Linked DNA regions of Callithrix jacchus. The protein of the gene in region 2 purifies or fractionates together with the protein of the main gene of each other region. This does not show direct contact. Links are inferred from orthologs where the notes say so. Each region holds a gene or a part of one and is shown on either strand. Other genes may lie near its edges.

What was found.
Region 1: the proteins of SUCLG2 (region 2) and SUCLG1 fractionate together in Homo sapiens (co-fractionation; 6 studies listed by BioGRID and IntAct, counting the BioPlex papers as one, with this or other methods). This does not show direct contact. The link is inferred for Callithrix jacchus from reciprocal best matches to the Homo sapiens genes SUCLG2 and SUCLG1.

What each region holds. Positions count from the first base shown.
Region 1 is NC_133515.1:28,624,938-28,628,437, forward strand, and holds part of SUCLG1 (succinate--CoA ligase [ADP/GDP-forming] subunit alpha, mitochondrial), read left to right. Parts: exon of another isoform or gene 1-2,515; intron 2,516-2,548; coding exon 2,549-2,652; exon of another isoform or gene 2,653-3,500. UniProt on the Homo sapiens protein: Succinyl-CoA synthetase functions in the citric acid cycle (TCA), coupling the hydrolysis of succinyl-CoA to the synthesis of either ATP or GTP and thus represents the only step of substrate-level phosphorylation in the TCA.
Region 2 is NC_133516.1:49,488,132-49,495,314, forward strand, and holds the start of SUCLG2 (succinate--CoA ligase [GDP-forming] subunit beta, mitochondrial), read right to left. Parts: upstream 4,161-7,183; 5' UTR 4,146-4,160; coding exon 4,062-4,145; exon of another isoform or gene 3,721-4,061; intron 1-3,720. UniProt on the Homo sapiens protein: GTP-specific succinyl-CoA synthetase functions in the citric acid cycle (TCA), coupling the hydrolysis of succinyl-CoA to the synthesis of GTP and thus represents the only step of substrate-level phosphorylation in the TCA.

The sequences.
Region 1 (3,500 bases), on a different chromosome or scaffold from region 2:
TCCACCCTCCCACCTCTCACACATACATAGACTTCTCTACCTTGAATAGGGATCCCAAATGCCCAAGGCTTTTTCTTATTTTGGTACTTTACACGCCACACAGTTGTGGCCCACTTTTATGTCAGTTCAGATAGATTGTGAGTTCTTTGAGGACTGAGATACTGTCATTCATCACTTTATCCTTAACACCTGCATTATGTGGCATTATGGTGGTGTAGGTGCTCCCTAAATGTTGACTAAATAAATGATGAACTCAATACCAGATGATAACCTTGTCTGGCATCATACAGGTTTCTTGTCAGGATGGAATGTGATCAAGAATTTCACTTCCTTGCTTTTGAATACATATTTTGGATTTGCCTTTAAGATGATAATAGTCTATTAGTTCCAGCTCATCTGGAAGTGGGTCCGTATGAGCTTAAGCCTGGTGCAGATGGGGAGATCACACATGAATGAGCCTCTAAGATGATAATAGTCTATTAGTTCCAGCTTATCTAGAAGTGGATCTGTATGAGCTTAGGCCTGGTACGTACATGGGTAGATCACACACATCTACATTTATGCATTAGAAGTTTTCCAAGATTTACTTAATTAGATGCTGTAGGCTCTCAGGGGCATTGCACTGACTGAGTAATACAAAAAGGCCAGGGGATTGGGAGTTGAGCTGCTGTGTATCACACTTCTGATATACTTTTTATGAGCACCAAAGATCTGATGTTATAACATCTTGAGCTCCATAGAATTGATCCAGGAGTTCTGGAGTTACTATAAGAAAGTAGAGATTTTCATTGGTCTGTTATTGTAGCTGTGCTTTAGGGACACCGACAGACCTGGATTTTCTCAGGGTGACGTCTCCTGTGGAGGGAGAAGAGAATTGTCTGATCTTTGTTAAGTTAATGAGTATAAGAGTTCTTTGAAGAAACCAAACTTTACCTACAAAAAGTATTTTGTTTTAACAAGTAGGGACTCCAGATATCCTGATCATAACATCTGATCTTATAATCAAATCTTCTACCTTCTTGTCTGAAAACTATGATATGATATGACCATTCGTTGACGTTTCTAGGAATGGGAGGGACTGGTAAAGCCGATTCTGCCACTAGTCAGGAATTGTAGCAGGGTAGGAAAGGGTGGAGCTTCTACACAAATATCATGGTTGTAGGTGTTCATCTGGGAGAAGTAGGAGCCAAGGGCAAGAATGGGTCTCACGTGACAGCACTGGTGAGGGTGAGCTGTGCTGCATAGCTCAGTAGGACTAGGGTCTCAGGCCACAAATCCCTGCTGTGTCCATTAGCCTAGAGTCAAATGCTTAGCTGTGACTGCTATGCCAGACCTTGACCTGCAAAGCTCTCTAATGGCCCCTTGTTGAGCACAGTCCAGTGTGAGAAAGCTGTCTGTTACCTAGCAGTTCTTCGTGTGCACGATATGCTACCCAGGTGGTAAGGGCTAAATCTGAACCTGTGTCCTTCCTGGAGGTATAAGGGATTCCAAATACTCTCCCAGAAGCAGATTTGTTGATCTTTCAGTTACGGAGTGTGAGGTCAGGACTTAGGTGGACATGAGGCAGTGATTTAAGGCAGAAGGCATGGAGTGGACTCTGGGCAAGTACATGACAGCATGTTCTTTTTGTTGTTCAATAAAGATTACTCCTTATGTTCTTTTCTTAGACTTGCTTCATGGGCGACCACAATGATAGGTAGAAGGCCTGGCTACTTTGAAGGGGCCGGGGATGGGTCACAGAAAAGGCATGTTGATAGTACTAATGGAGGTTTAGAAAGTAGCACACAATTTTGTCATCTATGTTCTTCCTACTGCTTTTTGAAATGTGGGGAGCTGGTTGTAGTAACTACTTAGATTTCTCAACCTAGGTCTTCTTTTTTTTTTCTCCACATGCTGCTTCTTCTCTTGTTTACTTTCCTATTTATTTTATCCCTGTTTCTTTTATATGTGAGTTAATATCAGAAGAGATTAAGTGATTTTGGATTGTATTTTAGATACGTTTTATTCTATGACTTAACATTTAATATGCTGTTTATACTAGAGAATGAATTGCTGAGCGATTTTTACTTGTATTCTTGACAAAGTTTGCCTCTTAGCTTACCTATTTAAAGGTATTAGGCTTTAAAAATTTGGGTCAAATGGGAAACCATGTGGCTGTTTAGTAAACATTATTAATGGGGGTGACAGTTTTCAGTCCCTGGATTTAATTTGAACCATTTATCTGTGAGCCCCAGATTTTTTTTCCTAGAAAATAAAAATGATAAACTTTTTCTTTTCTTTCTCAGCTTTTTCTTTCTCAGTTCAGAACAAACAACAAGATCGTGGTTCTTGATAAAGAGGGGATCCTGGCGAATGGAACAATGTCTTTTTTTGTTTGTTTTTCTAACTTTTTTCTGTGGTCTCTGTGTCATATTTAAAAGGTGGCATTTAGGTTTGCCATGATCACAAGATAGCTTGTGCATTACAGGATGTTTTCTTGTGATCAAGTTGAATTGTGGTTCAAAGTTTAGAAAAATTATAATGTGTCATTTTTTTTTTAACCTCTTAGTACCACAGAATGGAATTCGGCATTGTTCCTATACAGCTTCTCGGAAACATCTCTACGTTGATAAAAATACAAAGATTATTTGCCAGGGTTTCACTGGCAAACAGGTATGTGTATCTAGATTTTTATTTTCAAATGTAGACTAGACTAGAGATATAACAAATTAACTATTTTTTTATTTTTAATATCACAAAAAATATATCAGATTGTTGCAGAAAAATATACTGTACAGCAATGGGGTTGTATGTCAGGAGGCGGTTAGTTGCTATTGTCAGCCTATAGCATAAAAATTTTATTTAAACTTACTTTGCGAAGGAGTATATTGCATGCTTACTAGGACTATATTGTATTGGAGGCCAACATACTTTCTTTCAGCAAATACAACACTTGGTTTTCCTATGATGTTGAAACAGATAACTGTTTCTTTGAGCACTAGGTAAACTAGATTCTTGTGTTTAGGTTTTATACAGACAAACAAACAAAAAAAAACATATTGTTAAATACAGAATCCATATTCAGTGTGGAGAAATGTTCAAACCCACAGAGTCTCTTGGATAGTGAGACAAGCAGAAGAACCAGACCACTGAGTTTTCCCAACTTATACTCTCTCTGGGACCATGATTGGGACTACCAGGCAAAATTCCCTGAAGTGTTTTAATTTATTCTCATTTATTTATATTCATTGTCTCATCCTCTTTCCTGTTCACATCATAGATTTTGTATGAGTGAAAATATATCTGTGATGTGATTCTGTAATAAAATGCCACCTAAGAATCTCCTTTCCATTTTCCTACCTTTCTACTCCCCAGGAATTCCTTCTGTTAATCAATTGGCATGTATCCTTTCAGATATTTTTCTTGTGCATATAAACGTATTTATAGAATATGTGTTTTGTACTGTTTATTATACAGAACTATACTTATATAATGTTATCCAGCATATAATATATATAATG
Region 2 (7,183 bases):
GTGGGCAGCTCACTTGAGGTCAGAGGTTTGAGACCAACCTGGCCAACTTAGTGAAACCCCTTCTCTACTAAAACACAAAAATCAGCCAGGCATGGTGGCATGTATCTATAGTCCCAGCTACTCAGGAGGCTGAGGCAGGAGAATCACTTATACCCAGGAGGCGGAGGTTGTACTGAGCCAAGATCATGCTACTGCGCTGCAGCCTGAGTGAAAGTGAGTCTGTCTCTCAAAAAAAGGTAAAATAAAATTGGAGGCCTGAGAGGGAGTGCTTCTCCTATAAGCAAGCTACATGAACTTCACCTAGCCATAGAAGAGGGGAAATACCCTAAGAGACAACGATACTGTACTTAGACTTACAAAGAACCATTTTAAACTCAGTGCCCTCAGCCAACATTTCCCCTAAGACTTGACTGGCAGCACTCATCTCTGTGCGCACCATGGGACTAGCTTGCTAGTCTGTTCACTTGGCTATGTGGACACAGCAATATGGCCCCTGTCTACCAGGATTTAGAACTTTGGGAAGACTTCTAACCATAGTTAGATTCTCACTGCTAAATTCACTGAACATCAGTCTGCTAAAAGTTTCAAAGCAAGACTAACCTAGATTTATAATAGTGGGTATGCATAGTATATTAATTACATGCCTGGGCTTTAGCTGCCAGGACTGGGATTCAGCCTCTGTAAGGTTTAAAACCCTGAAAACTCCTTACCAGACCCTGCAGGTCTCCATGTGATTTGGCCCTTGTCTTCCTCTCAGACCTTGTCTACTACCACCTTCCCCCTCTTTAATTACATTGACATGCCCAGCTCATTCTCATCTTGTGGCCTTTGCACTTGCTGTCTGCTCTGCCTAATACACTCTTCCCCTTAGTCTCACCTGGCTGGCTACCCTTCATCACTCAGATCTCAGCTCAAATATCAAAAACACCATCTCCAGGATCACTTACATATAATGCTGAGCAATGTCAAGTATGTATATGCATATGTATAATTCCACTTACATAAAGTACAAAAATGAACGAAACAGTGCTATAAGTCAGGGGACTGGTTATCCTTTGTAGGGTGGAGACAGTGACAGGCAGGAGCAGCAGGGGGCCTCTGGGTTTTGTTAAATGATTAATTTCTTGATCTGTACCTAGTTAGCTGGATGTGCATTCAGTTTATAAAAATTCATCAATTTCTTCATTTATAAAAGTACATTTTTCAGTATGTCTTATATTTCTGTGTAAAAAACTCTGCCAAAAAAAAAAACAAAAAAAAAAACGAGCATGTCAAATAGGTTTCTTCTGATCGCCCAGTCTAAATAGGTCTCTTCTTCACATCCAGCTACCCTTCTGTGAAGCTATTCATTCTCCATCCCGTGACCCTGACTGATTTTCTTCACAGAATTTGTCATTGGCTGAAATCATTTTCATTATTGGTTATATGTATACCGGCTCACTCTCTTGGTGGCGCACGCCTGTAACCCCAGCTATTCAAGAGGCTGAGGCAGGAGAATCACTTGCACCCAGGAGGTGGAGGCTGTAGTAAGCCGAGATCATGCCATTGCACTCCAGCTTGGACAACAAGAGTGACACTCTGTCCCAAAAATAATAATAATAAAGTATCACAAGGCCGAAGACTCTGCCTGCCTCGTTCACCACCCTCAAACCCGAGTCTACAACAGTCCTACCAAATAGTACGGGCTGAATAAAAACTAAATGAAAAATAAGAAATGACTAAAGTGGACCCTTAATCAGTCAAAAGTCAAAACAGTAAAGTTAAGAGCAAAGGTTAAAATAAAATTTAAAAAATTTCAGTGACACGAAGCATCAGGAATATGTGTCAAATGTTAAATTTAGCTACAGGGAGGGGGGAGTTAAAATGTCATTCTATGGGTATCTTTAGGAGACCAGGGAAAGTTATTTCTCTAAGCGGAAACTGGGTCTTTCATTTCTGTACAGACAACAGTTTTTCATAAGGCCTTGTGGTATAAAGTAGGTCTGGGCCAAGAGTGGCAACAGATTTCTGAGACAGTTAGTGAGGCTTCTTAAGTATGTTAAAAGAAGTGGGCCATGTTTAACTGTAATGTCTGCCATAGGCAAGGGACCATGGAGGCAATAATATCAAATCAGTTTATGTGAAACAGATCATAGGAAGCACCCAAGAATTTGAAAATAAACTTTCTTACAAGTCATGGCAATACTCATCTATTTTTGTGGCCAATTCTAAGATGGTCATAAAGAAAAACATTAAAATGTGTCAGTGGTGCTAATGACTTGGATGTTATATAGTTACTATTGGTACTCAGATTAATTTGCACGTTAATATATTTTCATGAGGAAGCATACAGTCACCAGGAAACCACCTGGTGTAATGGAAACATAAGGGTAAGCCTTTACTCTGGAATGCCACAAATTCTCACTGTAACCTTGAATATGTTATTGAACTTCTTCAGGCCTCAATTTATCTAGCTGGACTAGGTGATTGCTAACGTCCATTACCAGCTCTTGGACACTGTATACATTTCTATCTTTTATAAAACCCATTTTTGTCTTCTAAGATGTTACAGAATAACACATCATCCACAAGTATGTAAATCATAGTAGTCAGATGGTGTGCACTAACAGATCTTTTTACCAGTTTTCTTGACAGACCAAGAGTATCTCTCCCCAGTCAGATTTGTCTTGTGTTGTGTTCAGCCTCTCATTTCTTGGTTAGGCAAGAACGCTTCACATACTGAGCTAAACACTCTGCATTTTAGGTTTCTCTGTACAATTCATAAGTTTTCACTGCCCTGGGCCCCATGTTTCTCATCAATTTAAGTCTACACACATGGTTAGCACCCTGGTTCTTGCTTTTTCTATCACTTAAATAATGAACAGGGCTTAATCACCTGGAGGTATTCTCCTTACTCTATTACAACAGTAATTACTGAGTTTTAATTAGACAAAACTGCCATTCCTTTTCCACCTTACTATACTGTCAAGCATCTATTAAGAATATTACAGTAGTATCACCACCTTTTAAATTTACATTAACAATAACAGAGAAATGGGAAGGCAGGAAATGAAAGAGGGGAAACACAGCTCACAGATGCCATAATTAACCAAAGCTTAGAATAACTCAAAAAATCATTAATCGCATTTTTTAAAAATTTTCTTAAAAACTATACTACGCACATCCTGGTTAAAATTGCATGAGTGATAATTTGCCTCATCAATTAAAAATGGGGAAATAGGCAAGATCATTAACTCTGCTGTGGCTGAATCCCAGACTGTGCTTTCTTTTAAAAGGGGAGAGAGAGAATCTAGAGACTAAGCAGTCCCTGATGGCTTTCTGACTACTGTAACGGTAGCCCTCTACAGAAGGTACAAATCTCCCAGAGTACAAGTTCCAATCGCTAACCAGCACCCACCACTGAACCTCTCTGGTTTCATTCTCCATCAACAAGGAGGGCATGGTCAGGGTCAATGGTCTACTGCGTTTTAGTAACAGGCTTGATTCTTCACTGAAAAGATGAGAAAGATCGTTTCCCATTTTTCTCCTTGACCCGTGCATTTGACCAACTCGGGGATCTTAAAAGTCTGCAAAAGCAGGTAGCCTGCAGGAAGTCCACCCTGGGGGGTGAGTTCCTAGTGGGCATGAAATGGGTTTCTAGACATGTTTATCTCGTGGCCTAAATGTGCTCAGGGTTACTGCGAGACGTTTGAAAAGCAGAATTAGGAATGACAATAAAACCTCAGGGCTCCAAAACCTGGTCCGAGAAACTTTTCTTAAACTTGCATCCAGCGCCTGCTTCAGTGTAGTCAGCATGGGGTCCGACGGCGGCGACTCCCGCGCATTGGGTAGCTCACATGCCGAGGCAACCCGAGGCCGCCCCCGCGCCGCCCCTGCGCTACACTAGGGCGGGGGTCGCTCCTGCTCCTGGGCGCAGCGCCGCGTCGCGTCCCGAAGTGGGGCGCCCGAGGGGCCGTGCACGGGGCCACGCGGGGAGCAGGAGCAGCAGGGGGTGAGGGGAGCCCGGCGCAGGTGGGCGCCGCTGTTAGCGCCCGCAGTTCCCGCCACCAGGCCACGCTCACCTGGGACGCGGCCGCCAGGAAGCGGGACCGCAGCGCTAGGGCTCGCAGAAGCTTCCCGGCCTGCGTTACCGCGGGGGACGCCATCTTAAACAGGAAACCCGGCACGGGGCAGACGCAGAGGGAGTGAGGGCAGGGGAAGGAGGCGGAGGAGGAGCGGCAGGAGGAGGGCTCCGGGAGAAACCGACGAAGGCAGGAAGAGGAGGAGGAGGAGGTGGAGGCAGAGGCGGGCCAGGCCGGCCCCCTGGGTTCCCGGGTCGTGGGCGTTCCTGAGGCCGCAGAGCCCTAGGTCCCTCACCCAGCTCTGCTTCACTTGGAGCAGTACCAAGGTCTCAGGGCCTACTGTGCAGTTCCTGGTTTACAGTCCCGAGCAAAGACAGAGCCCAAGCCCTGCGGTCTTGGGTATCAAACAATCCCGGGATGGCCAAACAAGCGAATATTCGCCATGGCAGTGGCAGCTGGAAGGGTGGCTCACGGAGCTGACGCCCTCCGCAGAGGGCTTCCAGGTAATAGGTAGGTAAGAGACAAAGGGTTGCATTCTTTCGTGTTTCTGGTTAGCCTTTCCAAAGGAGGCAATCAGCTGTGCATCTATGTCTGTGAGCAGATGTATGACTTTGAATAGAATGGGAGGCAGGTTTGCCCTAAGCTGTTCCCACCTTAACTTTTCCTTTTAGCTTAGTGATTTGGGGATCCCAAGATTATTTCCCTTTCACAGAGTTTACACGAGTCTAAGCATTGCACACGTAATAAAAACAAGAGCAAAGTTACTGAATATGTACGAAGCACTGGACAAATATAAATTTGTTTAGTTTTCGTGGCAACCTTTTAAGTGCGTACAAGTGTACTATCCCCATTTTGCAGAAGAGAAAACTGATATACACAGAGGTTAAGTAACTTGCCAGGGGCGGCAGTTCTGATAAGAGATGAGATTCACATCCCTTCCACCCACCCCTAAATTCAGCACTATTTTATATGTTTTTTTTAACCTTACTCGTTCTTGAGTATATGATCATGAAAAACGGTACAATTTAACAGAAGTAGACAGCTATTGCTACTAGCTTCTTTCTTAGCTTCTCTCTTTGGGAAGCAGCGGGCTGAGGATTTTTATTTCAACAGAATTTCTAGTCTGTTTTAAGACAAGTTTACCCACTAGATTTAGCATCTTTTGATGGTGATGATGATTGATTAAATCAATTATTCCCATGATGGTGGCAAGTTGGCAGTTGTCTAACTGGATCCTACATTTATTAGTTTGTGTTCCACTCTAAGAAAAACTTCATTGTCTCTCCATCATCTCCACTGATGAAATAAAATCTTCAGCTGAATTAAATTTAAAGGAGTCTAATTGAGCAATGAACGATTCGCAAATCAAGCAGCCCCCAGAATCACAGCATATTCATAGAGCCTCCAGTGCAGCCATGTGGTGGAAGATGATTTATAGACATACATACGTATATACATACATACATACATACATACATAAAGGGAAATGTACAGGAATCGGAAGTGAAGTACAGAACGGCTGGATTAGTTACACCTTGACCTTTGCCTTACACAGTGTGAACACTCAGCAATGTATGAATAGTTGAAGTATGGCCAATGGGATTGGCCAAGACTAAGCTATTGTTTTAGGCATACTTCTACGTTAGGTTTTCAATCTTGTCTACCTATTAAGCTAGGCTATAGTTGGTCTACCAGGACTCAAATGTAGAAGTACCGAGTCCCTCTCAGGCCATATTTAGTTCATTTTAACACCATTCATCAGTGAATTATTTTATCCATTTGTATCAGTATAGACTTGTGGATTCTTTTTTATTCAGTGGCAAACCTACGCTCTTTGCTGATACATATACTCTGTTGCCTCTGTTGTCAGTCATTTCATCTTCACAGAAGCCCTGCAAAGGGGGTCCTACTGTTATTCCTATTTTGCCAGAGAGAAAACTGGGCCACAGAGTTCTACATGGCATTTGCATGACTCTGAGGTCATGTAACTTGCCAAGAGTGACATGGCTTGTGATTGAATTCCCCAAAGCTGGACTCTAACCACTCTCCTTAACACCCTCCTCTTGACAAGATTGGATTTGAGTTTCCGTGTTGTTCATCATTACCCCTACTGGGTCTGCTGGGATAGAGCAAAGACTTGCTAACGTTTGAGAGTGAACGTTTAAACTTTGTTGAGAGCTCTGAACTTTTTGCCAAAAGAAGGAAGACCACCTATAGAATTAATCAAAGACTGTTTATTCAGGGTTACTACATTAAGGGAGTTGGCTACTATCACTTTCCTTCCACATGAGACTAGAAGGGATTTGAAAGAAGTGTTTGTTTTATAGAGATAAGGAGAGACTCTTAAGACAATCTTTGATTGATGAGTATTCTATTAGGATGAGGTTTTTCTATTAGGGTGGAATTTTTGAAAGGGGAGTGGAGAGAGGCTTTCTGATGGTCATCCAAGTACATTTGGCAGTCTTTGATTGGTTCACTATCTACTGGTGCTTAACTTGGAGGCTTTTCAGGCTTATCAGCCTCCTAGGAGTTTTTCTGTCTGAACTGGAAAACTGTCTGATCCTCTGCTCTGGGGCCCACATCTTTCATCAGCAATTCCTCAATGTCTTTACTCATATTTTCTCATTCTGCCCTCTCTGCAGCAAGCACGTAGGGGAGAAGGGACAGAAGGAAGAAAGATAACCATTCATATAGCATCTCCAGTGCCTAGCACTGGACCTGGATTGGAAAAGGTAATCAGTAAACATAGGTGGAATGAATTGTATTACAGAGTTCCTCCTAAGGTTTCTCCCTATTTTATACTCCCTTCCCCACTTCTACCCTCCAACCTTCCCAAAGTAGGAAGCTCTTTGAGGACAGAGAATCTAGATGCTACCAGAGTTCTGCACTGTGCTTTCCTGAAACAAGCATTAAGTTTTCAGCCAAATTGGATTGGATTCAAATCTGACCTCTGCCCCCTTGAACACCTGTGACTAGGGAAATACCTACTTCACAGGGTGCTAGAAAGTAGTCAATGATCAGATGTTGCATGTAAAGACCTTGCACATAGTAAAGACTTAATAAATGTTCTTTTTCTTCCTCTAGTGGGTTCATAACAAATATTTGCTTGATATCGAACGTGA